2 linked regions of the Notamacropus eugenii genome follow. The main gene of each other region encodes a partner of the protein of the gene in region 2 in a complex. Links are inferred from orthologs where the notes say so. Each region holds a gene or a part of one and is shown on either strand. Other genes may lie near its edges.

Region 1 (7,919 bases), on a different chromosome or scaffold from region 2:
TAGCTCCCCTGGATTCAATTATCACCTATCTTTTCCCCCAAATGTATCCTTCTTCCGTAACTTCCCTATTACTGGTGATGGCACCACCATCATCCAGGTTCACAAGCTAATATACTACCCTTAATTTTGCATTCTCTCTCAAACTGCCCCCCCCCCCAACACAATCAATTCCCAAGATCTGTCCATTCTATGTTCCTAACATCTCTCATATATATACCCTGGTCTATTCTCTGACACTGTCACCATCCTGAAATAGGCCTTCATCATCTCATGCCTGGGCTATTGCAATAGTTGCTGATTGTTCTCCCTGCTTCAAGTCTCTCCCCACTCCAAACTACCACCATTCAGCTGGCAAACTGATAATCTTCCTATACTACAGGTCTGTCCATATCACTTTCCCCACTCCCATTCAATAAAGTCTTTCACTGAGTGCTTTCACTGGCTGTCCCCAGTGTTCAGAAGCTTTCTTCCTCCTCGACTCTACCTCCCGGGTTCCCTGGCTTCTTCCAGAAGCCTTCCCAAGTCCTACTTAAGTACCTTCCTTATGAGAATATTGGCAACTTATCCTGTATATACCTTGTTTATACAGAGTTGTTTGTATGTTGTCTTCCTCATTAGACTATGAGCTCCTTGAGAGCGGGAACTGTTTTTTTTACCTTTCTTATATCTACAGAATTTAGCACATTACTTGGCACAGAGTATGCACTTAACAAATTCTAGTAAGTACTTCTCATGCTTACAACCTCTAGTAACCTGAAGCAAATCACTTAGCTTCCTCTGGCTCTCAATTTCTTCATCTGTAAAATAAAAGGATGGAAATTCATTGCCAAAGTTCCTTCTAGCCCTAGATCTATGACCCTATAATTTTTTGATGATAACTTCCCAGGAAAAAAAAAATCCTGTTTTATTTTCTTTGCCTAATATTATGCCATTAATGGCAATATTAAGGCAGGAACTTAAACATTTTTTACTTGCTATTTTCTAGATGACATTTTCAACCACCTTATTTTCCCTTTCAAAACTCATTTTCTAATGTAAAAAAGCAAACAGGAAAAGTAAATTATAGATTATAAGGGTGATAGTAGATAAGGAAAATATGAATATGAAATGATGGATTTGTACATAATTTAAATAGCAAATATTACATCTAAATTCAATTAAACATGACAGGAGTAAAGGAAGAGATTTAGTTATATTTGAAGTACTGTACTCAATTTTTACGTAAGAACAAAAATAATCCCTGTATTTCCTTTGGAACCTCCCTTCTTTCTCCATCTTTGCTTCACTAAATCATTCATAATTTACATTATCATTTCACTTCGACTCTCCTACTCCTAATACCCTTTGACTCAATTCAATAAAAATGTAGTACTTAGAATTAAAGGTAAGTAAATTAAGACTATTTTAAAAGATCTAAGATCTCATTCATTTAAGAATGCAACCTACACCTTCTCATCTTGTGCAATTCTTGTCCAAGTCTTTCTGTAAATTCTGCATAGAGGATCTCTCCAATGTAGTGAATGCCTTCCTCTGGGTCTGCTAAGAACTAATTTAGCTATCATTAGGAGGCTGGCCTCTTTAAGAAGAAAATATTTTTGATTGACTACAAAGTGTAATGAAAAACCACAGAGTACCTCAGCTCACATACCACCTCTGAGGTTTAGTACATGTGTGAACCTGGGCAATTTATTTAACTTCTCTTGGCTTCAGCTCCCTTTTCTGTAAAAAAAAAAAAAAAAAGGGGGGGGGGGGGCTGTTGTAGATGACCTGTTAGGTTCTTCCCAGTTCTAAATCTTGTGATCCACGACGAAACATAAAAATATCAGAGTGCTTCTCAGTCTTGTAGTTCCACCGAGAAGGTGGGAAGAGGGTGCTAAGAATTACAGAACCAATCCATGTTAGTTGGCAAAAAAAAAAAAAAAAAGCTTACTTGTGGAATCTACCACCAGCCTGTTATCCAGACAGGAGTTGGATCACTCAATCACAACCTCTAACAGCACCAGAAACTAATATAGGGCAAAGTAACTACCGGATATAAGCAGGAATTCTTCCTCCGCCTTCTAAGAGTCGAACATTATACAGCGAACTAAAAGCAATTCGGTAACTGGTGAATGTGCCAGCCCAGTACCCAGACGACCCTATAATCCTATAAAGTGGTTGCAGAACAGGTCTCCCCTAGACTATCTGACAATGGCAAATTCTCTACTGTTGAACATCATCCAAAAATCCAAATCCCAAAGTGCGACGGTCTACCTGAACAGGTGGCTAATCAAAGAGATCAATTCCTTCAAGATGCGAAAGAGACTTGGAGACACTGATCACAGTTTATGTAGGGAAAGGCTCTGCACGTGGAGGGCGATGACGGGAGGAGTACACAAAACTGGGGGGGGGGGGGGTAGATTCATTCTAGAATAGCCTGGGGCCCCAGGACGCCCCCCCCCACTCAGGTGCCCCGCTGGGGGCACCAATAGGACCAGCAGAGGTTAGACTGGCTTTCCACACCCGGGGGAGCCACGAGCCCGGGAGCAAAACTAGAGATAAACTTAAGAACTCCACATCAGGGGAATCCGGGGGTGCAAACCCCAGGACAGCCACCCCTTCTTGCACCCGCGCGCCCAGTCTCTCGCCTTCTCGCGGTCGGGCCTCCCCCGCCCCCCACGACGCCAGGAGCTCCGGGGAGGGGTCCCTCGGACGGCCCCGGCCCCAGGCCCGGGCGCGCCGCCACCTCCCCACCTTCCCCCCGCGGCAGCGCCGCTCCGGCCCGGGGGGGACGGTCCCCGTGGCGGCCGTTAACGTCCCAACGACGCGGAGGCCCCGGCTCCGCCGGGAATGCGCCCCCCGCTCCCTCGGCCTCCCCGTACCGTAGGTCTCGGACATGGCCGTCTGCGACATCTTGGGAAGCGGGCGCCGCCTCTTCCCCCGGTCTCCGGCTGCAGCTCGGGGGCCGGGGGGTGGGGGGTGAGGGAGAGGGCAGGAGCGGGAGGTCAGTGGCGAGAGCGAGGTCTGACCGGGGCTGGGGAGTCCGAGGAATTGGTGGGGTGGAGTGGGGTGGGCGGGGAAGGAGGGGCGCGGCCGGGTCCCCACGGCAACCGCCAGCCACCCCGGAGCCGCTCCTGCTCAGGACCGGACCGCGGGGTTCCGCGCAGGCGCACACCGCCCACCCACCTCCCTCTCTTCCCTCCCCTCCCTCCCACCCCTAGAGAGATCGGGGAGGGGCGGGGCCTGGCTGGGGCGGGGAGGAGGAGAGGAGGGGTGGAGGGAAGGTAGTACTCGGAGACCGCGAGCCGGGGGAGCCCGACCGCCCAGCCTCTCTCGCGCCTGCGCACTGGGCGCGGGAGGGCCTGGGGGCGGCCCGCGAAAGCCCTGGATCACCAAAACAAAGAGCACGTGCGCGAAACTCCATCCGGGGCCGACCGTCTACAGGAGACTCGGGGAAAGGGAGGGAGGGGCGGCGCATGGTACACGCCCCGGGCGGAAGTTCCGAGTGCCCGAGGTCAGAGATGGAGTCCTGAGGGGGAGTGACCCTTCCCTAGGTGGGTGACTGACAGGGGCAGAATACCCTGCTAGGAAGGATGGCGAGGCTCCTCCTGGGAAAGGTGCGCAGGTGAGGAGGAGGTTTGTGTGAAGGCGAGACGTGGGCAGGACCCTGCCTTGCTCCACTCTGCGTCCCGCGTGTTTTACGTTGACTCTCTCAACAAAGTGTTTGCACGTTCTGGTCTTTACTCTGCTGCCCTGGTAGCCATGCAGCTGTACTTCACGTACACGTATCGATTGTCCACAGTGTGCCAGGCACTGTGCTGTGCATTGGGAATTAAAAGATAACAGTGAAAACAGCCCCTATCCAGGATGGGGGGAGGGGAGAAGCGACACGTTCATATACAGTTATGTTAACAATATATAGATAGAAAATTATGTTGGTGGAGAAGGATCTAACGGATGGGGAGGTGGATCCAGAAAAACCTCTTGTAGAAGGTGGTACTTAAACTGAGTCATGAAAGAAGCAAGGAATTCCAAGAAGTAGCATTAAAGAGGGAATGCTTTCCAGCAAGTGCAAAAGTAGGGTGATATGTAGTGTACAAAGACTGTCCAGTTTGCTTCTTGGATGAGGTAGAGGCCACAGTGTAAGTAAGGAAAGCTAGAAAGTTAGGTTGAGGCTAAGTTGTGAAGAGCTTTCAAGGCATATTTAGGGAGCTATTCAAGTTTGTTGGTTAATGTAGGTTCCCATGCAGGTGGCCTAAATGCAGAGGTGCTCATAGGTATGCATTGATGTGATCTGTGGGCTGCAGAAGGCCCTGCCTGCACTGCCCCAAAGCTAGCTGGAGAAAGGAACAGGCAAGGTCTGAGACAGCTGGTCAATTTCTCCTCTAGTCTCCAAGAGAGGTATCAGGCTAGAATCATCTTTATCTGCTACCCTCTCAAATATCAGGTATATGAGTTTAAAAGGAAAGTCAATTTCATGGTTGCTCTTAAGGGAGATTGTAACCCTTAGCTTGTATTCTCCAGTTTCTCACCAAATACTCATTGCACAAAAGACTGGCACAAATAGCAAATGGTGAGTAAATCCATTTATCCAAGTAAATAGCAAATAGAAATCGGAGAAGTTATATAGACTAAAATATGGCAAAAAATACATAAGAGTGAATAAGTTTTTCAGCTAGGAAACTCAGCTTAGACTAGGGAAGTAAGAATAATCTCACCCAAAAAACGTTCATTCTATCTATCCCTAGAATGTTAAGCAAGTCCAGAGAAATGCATGGGGCTGGCTTCCCGCCTATGTCTGCTAGCCCAAAAACTTTCTCCTTCTCCTCCATGGAGTTTCTCCTCTTCAAAAGTGATTGGAACCAATTCAAAAATTCCCTTTTGCTGATCTGAAGCATTATGCTCAGCTTTTTCTCAGCTAATTAATTAGGAGCCTCATCAACTTGCACATGCTCAGTAGCACACATTATACCTCAAACTTGGATGACTGGAAGGATGGTGGTGCCTTTGATAGATATAGGAAAAATTAGAAGAAGGAATAAGTTTAGAGGGAAAGATAATAAGTTCTGCTTTGGATATTATGAGTATGGTAATGTGGGACCACCATCTCTCTTAGGAGAGAGATTAGGGCTGGCTTTATAGATATGGGAATCATCTGTATAGATAAGACAATTAAATCCTTGGAATCCTATTACAAGAAATCAGACTGATAACAAGAATTATCCCCACAAAACATCTGACAATTTTTTCTTTGTCATCATCACCACTATAAGATGATATTTGTTTAGTGTTTACCAAAACAAGATGAAGTAAGTCCATTATCCCTTCTCAAAGTATTTACAATTTAAAATATGCCCAAATATAAGTTGATAGGTAAATATGAAGTATCTAAAAATCAAGAAATAAGAGTCAAGTTCCTGTATTTTTCAGCATAGAATAGACATTTACTGGCTCCAAGAAGCTGTAGCATGCATAGAGGCTATACTACAGTAAAACCATGTAGGCAGAAGGGCTAAACCAGATCAGGGGTAGCCTCAAATCCATCAGCGAATTAGGAGATGTCTACTCCAACCATGTTCAAATCCACTGGTGAATTAGGAGATATCTACTCCAAGTATGTGGAATGGGAGAGTAAGAACAATTTGTTCCAACTGCCATGAAGGCAGTTTGAAGCAGACACTGTGAAGCACTTAGAGCTTGGTCAGATATCGAAGATGCCAAGGTGATCCACTGCATCCTGGACCATCACCAGTCATCCTGACTTTTGTTCTGCCACTGGACTTTGATGACTCAGGTAGAGAGTGAGCCTGACTTGGCGCATCTCTGCCTCACTTCAGTCCAGTTCATGAGTCCGTGATGTCAGTGGTCCTCTTAGAAAACAAAGGATAAACAGCAACAAGGTATTTATTTGCTGTTTACACGATGTCACTGTGAATATGAATTAGATACTGTATTAGGAAAAATCTTAGCCCTTTTACACTTAGGAAAGATATCATTTATTAGATGGGGAATCTTGAAAAAGTTGGCAATTTAGAGAGTGAGGAAGCAGTGATAAGAGAGTTACTTGTCTAGGCAGTCACAAGTAGTAGTAGATAAAAGATGTGAGAAGGTTGTGATGCCTCAGCAATTAACCTGGGGTGAACTGGTAGCAATGGGTGGATGCTTCTGGATTAGAATCCAGCACACAGTAGTTGCTTAAAGTTTATCAGTTGGATTGGGGAAGTTAGATTAGGGATTTGGCATAGTATAGTGAAAAGTGGAATAGGTTTTAGATAGAAGATGTGGATTTGAAGCCTGGTTTTGTCTTAAGGCAAGCCTTATAAGCTCTATCACTTTCTTCATCTGTAAAATAAGGGAGTTAGACTAGCTGATCACCATAGTCTTTCAGGTGTGAATACTATCTTTATCCAAAGTCCGAGAGACAAACATAGAAGGGAGAGGAGTGTAAGCAGCTGATGATAACTAATGTTTATATGGTGCTTTAAGGCAGGCTGCACAGCATTTATTGCATGCTTCCTATATGCCAAGCACTGTGTTAAGGGCTGAGCATACAGAGAAAGTTAAGACATAGTCCCTGTCCTTAAAGAGGCCATTCTAATACCTTATAATATAGTTGTCAGGGTTGACCCATCAGTCAGCTGGTGGCAGTATGAAATTCATGGGTATGAAAAATAGCACTTGTGGGTCTTTGATAGGAAACAGCTTGGTTTCCGTGTGTGTGTGTGTGTGTGTGTGTGTGTAAGGGGAGGGAATATAGTTGAGAGCTTAAGGTCTCTAACTAAGAATGATAAGGATCACAACTGTGATTAAATACTTGTATGTGTTTGTGTCATCAATGTGGGTATTCTCTGCAATGATCCTGATCACAACTGATCCATGTCTGCCTATCCTGTGAATCTTGTCCATGTCCTCCCATAATTTTAGCCCAGTGGGTCCATCTAATTCTTTGATTTCTCTTGCCATCATGGAGATACCCTTGGAACACATGGCTACCCATCAGTCATCTATTATTGTTGCCAAGTGACCAGACTATTTTTTTTCTTTGGACATCCTTTAGTCTGGTTCTCTTTTCTAACTTCTTGTTTGCATTGTGTTAGCCTGCTCATATCTCTCCCACCCTTTAAAAGAAAACAACCATCTATCATCCTGGCTATCTATTGTCCTATGCCTTTCCTCTCTTTGCATGTAAACTACATGAGAAAGGTGTCTATACTAGTTATTTCCATGTTCTTTCTCACTGTCTTCTAAATCCTCTGAAGTCTGGCTTCTAACCTCATCATCCAAGTCAGTCAATAAGCGTTTTTAAATGTGTGCTCTGTGCCAAGCATGGTGCTAAGCACTGAAAATGAAAAGAAAGGTAAAAGATGGTCCCTGTCCTCAAGGAGCTCACAATTCAATTGGAGAGACAAGCTTACACATACAAATGAGCTACATAAAGGATAAATAGGAAATAATTAACAGAGGATAGGCACTGGAATGAACTGAAACTGCTCTTTCTCCAAGTGATGCTATTTGCCAAGTCAAATGGCCTTTTCTTAGTCCTCATCCTTCTTGACCTCTCTGTTTTTTCTACATTTTTGAGATGCTACTTTTACCTGTCAGATCACTCTTTGGTGTCCTATGCTAGCTCTTTATTCAGGCCATATCCATTAATGGTGGTTGTCCCCCAAGGCTCTATTTTGAGCTCTCTTTTCTTTTCCCTCTGTATCAGGGGTTATTAACCTGGGGTTCATGAATTTGTTTAAAATTTTTTTTGATAACTATATTTCAATAAAATTAGTTTTGTTGGTTATCTTATGTATTCTGTTTTGCACATTTAAAAAACATTATTCTGAGAAGGCATCCATAGGCTTCAACATACTGCCAAAAGGGTCTATGAGACACACACAAATTAAGAACCTTGCTTTATACACTTAGTGAGCTCATCAGCTCCCATGGAT
Region 2 (7,189 bases):
AACATCTGATGTCCTAGATGCTTTACAAGAAAACATTCAGCAAAACACTGGAATTTCTGAAGCCTGGGTAAAGGCAGCTATGAACTGATTGGCTGGTAAAGCAGATATGACTGATAACGGCATGGAAACTTCTTTGCTGATGTAGTGATGCTAATCAGGCAGTTACTCTACAGTATTTTTTCAAGCAGGTGGAAAAAAAGCTGTTTTAAAAGTATTGAAGTCATCCTTACTAATAATGGAGTAAAGGTTATAGGATGAAATGAACAGAAATTTGCCAGGCAGAAAATTGGAAATATTAATGCACATTGCAAACTCAGCTAGAGGGCGCCACTTTAGAAAGACTGCACCACTTAACTTCTATTGAGTGTCACTAAAGTACTTCCTGGCAAACTTCTCAAAATGGGTGTGGTCCTTCATCAGGAAACTAATTAGGAATAATTCTGTCTTTATTTTTAAATAATCTTTTCTGAAATAACTGAGAGGCCAATCTCAACTCTCAACCACACCTTCCCCTATTTAAGTAAAATTATCATTCTGATGATAAGTAGGTCCATGGTAATAAATCAAAACCCAAAGATCCATACAGCAAGGATGTTTTCTTAACTAACAACTGATATTAGCCACATAACTTTTCCATAAACTCCAGATGTCCCAAATCCAAAATTAGCTCTTTTCAGTTCAATATCTGTTATTAAGCTAGCCTCCTTAAGCTAGCACCATGAAGGCTATGATATAAGGGAGAAATGCGGTATACTCTGACAAGGCTTTTCATTAATCTTTGGTGTCATATTTTCAAAATGTTATTGTTAGCTTCTAAGACTGGAACATTTGTCAACTTAGGTCAATACAAAGGTCATCCTCTCCATCCTATAAAAGATTCCCTGGGACCTCTAGGGGACTTCACAAATTAACTTTTTAACTACATAAAATTAAAAACCCCAAAATGGGAAAAATGGAGGACATTTTAAGAATTCTCAGAGTTCCTTTAAAAGGAACAATGTCTCATTTCATCTATTTTAAATAAATCACCTGAAATACATTGTAGACATAAACAAACTTTTTTGGGGGGGAGGGGTGGGCAGAGTATAAATGAAACTGTCTAAGAGGTTTTTTTTTCTTTTTTTGCCTAACATTCCCAAAAAAATACTAGGATGTTCTGAGTAAATTTTACAAAAATGACACTAGGAAGCAGACAGGTGATACTGTGAGAATAAATCTTACTAGCAGTCTAATATAAAACCCTAGGCCCCATTCACACCATCACTGACCAGTGAATGAATATTACAGAAGTACCTGCTGTATAAAGTATAAAAACTGCTAGCATCCACACATCACTACATACTTCTTTGTAGAGCAGAGAGATGCACGTTGTAAACCAGCATTAGGGGCCCTAAACCAAAACTGCCACATGAAGGATGTTACTGATCATATTTTCAAAGCCTTTTTTTCTTCTCCCAGCAATTCTGTCTGGTCCAGTTGTGCTTCATGACCCTACCTAATACTTCTCTGTTTTGGATATCTGAAGCCCAGTCTCCTAGCCAGTTTCCTATCCCTTGTGCCACGCTGCCTATGTTCCGCTCAGGAATATATCTGCCTTTTCTGCATTCCCATCACCACCCTATCTTTCCCCCAAACCCCATCATTACCCTATCCAGACTCTTAGTGTAAAACTATCATCTCATTTCCTCTTGCGTGCGAGCTGTCACTGATGAAAACATCAGGAAAGTGGCCGAGGGATTCCACTCTCCAGGCAGCCTGTCTGCGCAGTGCCCCGCAGCCCAGTGCACCCAGCGGGCAGGCCTCTTACTTTTTATCTGCCCTCTGACATCCCTGTCCTCGCTGGAGTGCTCTTCCTCATAATGGGACTGGAGCTGGTAAAAAGACTGCAGGTCCTTGAGGCACAGAGGGCACAGGAAGCCCTCCCTGACCTCGCCAGGGTCATCCAGAGAGGCCATGGTGGCCTGGCACTTCCAGAGGACAGGTCACTGCATGTCCAGGAGGGAGCCGGCCTCTCAGCAGCGCAGCTCGCCCGGGGCCGGCTTACACAAGGCAGAGGCTGGGGAAGGGCATGGCCCCCCGGGGGGGGTTTCTGGTCAGCCACAGAAGGAATCCTGCAAATAAACGGGAAGAAAGCCAGGTGAGAGGGGGCCGGACACCTGGGCTGCATCTGAACTCGGGGCAAGCTCCACCACGGGCACGGCCTCCCACTGTGCCCCAAGGACCCCCCCCCCCCCCCAAGAGCTTTGATTTGGGCGTGCTCTGCACCGACAGTTACTGTAACTGGACATTTACAAGTCTCGGCACTGTCGCCAAAGTCGTTTTGGCCTCCAAGTCCCAAAGGTTTTGGGGGCCCCCAGCAGACCCCACTTTTGAGAACCCCTGGTGTGGACTTGACCCCACCCAAATAAATAAGAGGAAGGCTTTTTCAGTAAGAAACACATTCTTAAAGCACCTGGAACTTGGAAAGATAAAAGCGCGCTTAAGCCTGCACCCCGCACCCGCACCCCGCACCCCGAGCGCTCGGGGAAGCGCGGCGGGCCCGGGGAGCCCCTTCTGCCTCCGGGGGCCCGGAGTCTGCCCCGGCCGGCCTCAGACCCCTCGGACCGGGGCGGGCTAGGCCCACGGCCGCGAGGCTGGAGGCGAAGCACCCCCGGACCTCGGCCAAGGGGGGGCCCCCCATTCTCCCACGGAGGTCCCCGAGGGACCTCCACCCCCTCCCCAGGATCCGCCCAGGGAAGGCTGCAGCGCTGAATGAGGGGTGACTGACGGACCCCCCCCCCCCCCCACACACACACACACAATAAATACCCTCCCCCCCACACACACACACCCCCGCGCCGACACGCCCCCTCCCCTTTCTCCTCCCAGAGCTCCCCTCCCCCCCTCCAGCCTCACCTCCCGCCCCCCGCGGGTCCCTCCTCCCTCCCCGAACGGCCCGCGATGCGATGCGGGGCGGAAGGAAGGGGCGCACTCAGTACCGCTGCAGGCCTGCGACCAGTGCCGCCCACGGGGCCGGGGGCTCGCCCCTCCTCCGCCTCTCTCCCCTCACTGGGCCCGGGCGGCCATCACGCATCCATGCCCTCGGCCCTCGGCAAGAGAGCCTGCGCGGCAGGCAGGGCAGGGACGCATTCATCGAGCACCGAGTTATCGAGCCACCCCAGGCAGGGAGGGAGCGAAGCTAGTGTCTGCGTGAGCTGAGCCTCTGCGCAGGCGCCGCGGGAGAATTGGAGACGAGGCGTGGGGAAGGAAGAGGGCGGGGAAGAGGGAGACCAGGCTTGTGGTCGCCGCCGGCCCCGCCCCCCAGGGGCAAGGCAGAGCAAAAGACAGCCCCCCCGCCCCGCTCCTGTTAGAGATCTACACACACAGGCATCTGTAATTAAGTGGGCATGGGTTCTCCTTGTGTAGTTCATTGATTACATCTAGGTTATAGAGTCATATCCTAATTATATAAGGTTCTCTATGTCATTCTGCAATTGTATATAGGGGGCGGTTATGTAGACATCACAACAGTCCTATATGGTCATGCCGCTGTACTTCTAGTCATGTAAGTAAATAAGCATACCTAGAGAGGGTTACAGTTACAAGGAGTTATACGGATGTACAGTTGTAATAGTTGTAGGACATGTGTGTATGTGTGTGTATATGTATGTACGTATACATGTATCAGACTTGGCAGGGAGTCCTAGCGAGGAATGGAGCTGGGAACAGCAGCAGCAATGGTCGTTGGCTGCTGAAGACTTGTGCATCACATGACCTCATCCCCAATACTGTCTTCCCTTTACCTAAACCAATAAAACTTCATGGATGCGCCCTTGCGGCAGATACTGGCATCTAATAGACTGTGTGATTGTAAGGAGAAGAGACAGACAAGATGTGAGAGTGACAAAGGCAATGTGTGGTGCAGAGTGCTGGACTGATCATAGACTTATCCTTTCCAAGCCAAATATTCACATTCATCAAAACCGCTGACCCCAAGGAAAAATGACTACCAGAAGAATTAGTGTCAACAAATTAGAGTTCTCTGAGCGTGAACAGTTTGTTGCTAACTTGGAGGGAAAGTTGAGCCACACATAGTTGGCAACAGTGGAGCAGAAAAGGAGTGGGCAGCTTTCAGAGATTTGGTGTACAGCACTGCATTTGCTCTTCTGGGTCAGAATATTCACAAACACCAAGACTGGTTTGACGAAAATAATGAGGAAATTCAGAAGCTGCTAAACGAAAAACGAGAACTCCATAGGATTTACCAGCAGGATAGTTCATCCAGCTATAAGAAGGCAGCATTTAATTTCATCAAAAGTAAAGTACAAGCAAAGCTTAGAGAGATGCAGGATTCCTGGCTCAGTAGGAAGGCAGATTAAATTCAATTTTATGCTGATAGTAACAATCCAAAGTGCTTTTATGATTCCCTGAAAGCTATCTATGGACCAAAAACCTATGGTGCATCACAACTACTCAGTGCTGATGGAGCCACATTGATTAGTGATAAGGACATGATCGTAGAGAGATGGACTGAACACTTCCTTAGTGTTCTCAACAGACCATCATCAGTCAATGATGAGGCCATTGACCCTTTGCCTCAGGTTGAAGTCAATCCCTCCTTAGTTGAACTTCCAACTGAAGAAGAGGTTTTGAGAGCCATTAGGCTCCTTTCATGTGGCAAGGCACCTAATGCTGATTCTATTCCAATTGACATTTACAAGGTAGGGACACCATTGCTCATACAAAAACTGACTGAAATTTTCCAGGTTATATGGCAAGAGGAGGTTATTCCCCAGGAGTTCAAGGATGCCTCCATTGTCCATCTCTATAAAGGAAAAGGAAATAGATTGTCCTGCGACAATTACAGCGAGATCTCTCTCTTAGTCGTTGCTGGCAAAGTTCTTGCTAACGCCTTCTTAATAGGCTGATCTTTCACCTGGAAGATGGTCATCTACCTGAGAGTGTGACTTCAGAAAGGGCTGAGGAACAGTTGACATGGTGTTTGCTGGCCAACAACTCCAGGACAAATGCCAGGAGCAGAACAGAGGTCTATATACAACATTTATAGATCTGACCAAGGTCTTTGACACTGTTAGTCATGAGGGCTCGTGGAAAATTATGTCAAAATTTGGTTGCCCAGAGAAGTTCATCAGTATTGCACATCAATTTCATGATAGCATGTTTGCCCGGATTCTGGATAGTGGACAATGCTCTTGTGCCTTCGCAGTCACCAAAGGAGTGACAGGACTGTGTAGTTGTTCCCATGCTTTTTAGCATGATGTTTTCAGCCATGTTGTGAGATGCTTTCAGTGGGGATCAACACGACATCAAGGTCAACTACCATACTGATGATAAGTTCTTCCATTTGAAAAGGCTACAAGCCAAGACCAAAGTGGAGAGAGTGTTGGTGCATGATTTTCTGTTTGCAGATGACTGTGCATTCAATGTAGTCTCTGAAGCTGACGTACAACAAAGTATGGATTAATTCTATACTGCCTGTGCTAATTTTGGCCTAATAATTAACACCAAGAAAACACAGGTGCTCCATCAGCCACCACCACACCATCCATTTGTAGAACCATTGGTTACAACAAATAAAGAAGTTTTGAAGGCTGTGGATAAGTTCACTTACCTTGGTAGTGTACTTTCCAGGGATGTACACATTGACAATGAGATTGACATGAACATTGCCAGAGCTGGCTCAGTGTTTGGGGGTCTCCAAAGAAAACTAAGGGAGAGAAGAGGTATTAGACTGACTACCAAACTGAAGGTCTACAGAGCTGTTGTGCTGACCTCATTGTTGTATGCCTGTGAAACATGGACAATCTACCAGCGCCATGACAGAAAACTGAATTGCTTCCATTTGGACTATCTTAGGAAGGTTCTGAAGATCACCTGTCAAGATAAGGTACCAGACACTGAGGTCCTTGCTCAAATTAAAGTGCCAAGCATTCAAACTATGCTTCAGAGAGCGCAACTCCAATGGTCTGACCATGTTGTTTGAATGCAAAACGTACGCTTGCCAGAAAGACTATTTTATGGAGAACTTGCATGGGGCAGGTGATCACATGGTGGCCAGAAGCAACGACACAAGGACACCCTCAAGGTCTCTGTCAAGAACTTTGGATTTGAGTGTGCCACATGTGAGACACGGGCACAGGAATTGAAACAGCACAAAGGAAACATAGGACTCACAAATTTGGAGTAGACACTCCAAATGTTCACACAGATTATCTGTGCCCAATGTGTGGTAGGGTATTCTGAGCTTGTATTGGTCTGATCAGCCACAGTCGGACATATTGAAACTTGACTTTATCACAGTGATGTCATTTTGGTCCTCCAAGAATGAAGGAGAACAACCAATGAGTTATATATAAATCTAGTCCATGTCATTGTAGTTATAGTTATGTAGGTATACAAGCATATATATATATATATACATATATATATGTAGTTATGTCATTGTAGATAGCTCTATAGATATGTATAGTTAGATATATTTTCAGGTGTAGTCATATAATTATCTATAGTCCTACATATAGGTGTATGCAGTTAATTGTTCAGTCAGTTCCACCTCTTCATGACCCCCATTTGGGGTTTTCTTGGTGGAGATACTGGAGTGGTTTGCCTTTTCCTTTTTCAGGTCATTATACAGGCAAGGAAACTGAAGCAAACAGGGTTAAATGACTTGCCCAGGGTCACACAGCTCGTGAGTGTCTCAGGCCAGATTTGAACTCATGAAGAGGAGTTTTCCTGACTCCAAAGTCTAGTGCTCTCTCCACGGTGCCACCCAGCTGACCCTATGTATATATAATTATATAGCAGTGGTTATATAGTTACCTAATTATGTAATTATGTATAGATATTTAATTACATATAGTCCTATATAGTTATATAGTAGTCCTTATTTGGTTATATATAGTTATGTAGCTCCATAGTTATGTAAATATACGGGCATATTTAGGTATATAGTTATTCATAGTTTTGTAGTTATATGGTTATATTTGTTCTATGGTTTCTATAAATCTATAGTTATATATACAGGTATATAGGTATATAGTTATATATTATAGGTAGTTATATAGTTATAAATAGATATACGGTTACATAGTTTTATGTATAATTGTAGTTGCATATGTATAAATGCACATACATAACTCTGTGTGTGTGTACATACATGTACACATACTGGTCAGTTTCATTTCTGGCC

What was found. Proteins that work in one complex are often made in the same cells at the same time.
Region 1: the proteins of RBSN (region 2) and RAB4A are in contact, whole or in part, in a crystal structure (PDB 1Z0K), measured with the Homo sapiens proteins. The link is inferred for Notamacropus eugenii from reciprocal best matches to the Homo sapiens genes RBSN and RAB4A. Residues at the interface, in NP_001289307.1 of Homo sapiens: Glu441, Gly442, Trp443, Leu444, Pro445, Ser447, Glu454, Pro458, Leu459, Gln461, Gln462, Asn465, Ile466, Phe469, Asp480, Glu481, Thr484, Leu485, Asn488, Leu492, Glu495, Gln499; in NP_004569.2 of Homo sapiens: Tyr10, Leu30, His31, Ile34, Glu35, Ile46, Gly47, Val48, Glu49, Phe50, Gly51, Ser52, Lys53, Lys63, Gln65, Trp67, Arg74, Phe75, Ser77, Val78, Ser81, Tyr82.

What each region holds. Positions count from the first base shown.
Region 1 is NC_092873.1:388,919,278-388,927,196, forward strand, and holds the start of RAB4A (ras-related protein Rab-4A), read right to left. Parts: upstream 3,240-7,919; 5' UTR 2,893-3,239; coding exon 2,862-2,892; intron 1-2,861. UniProt on the Homo sapiens protein: The small GTPases Rab are key regulators of intracellular membrane trafficking, from the formation of transport vesicles to their fusion with membranes.
Region 2 is NC_092874.1:431,153,586-431,160,774, forward strand, and holds the start of RBSN (rabenosyn-5), read right to left. Parts: upstream 3,128-7,189; 5' UTR 2,979-3,127; exon of another isoform or gene 2,896-2,978; intron 2,112-2,895; 5' UTR 1,956-2,111; coding exon 1,808-1,955; intron 1-1,807. UniProt on the Homo sapiens protein: Rab4/Rab5 effector protein acting in early endocytic membrane fusion and membrane trafficking of recycling endosomes. Required for endosome fusion either homotypically or with clathrin coated vesicles.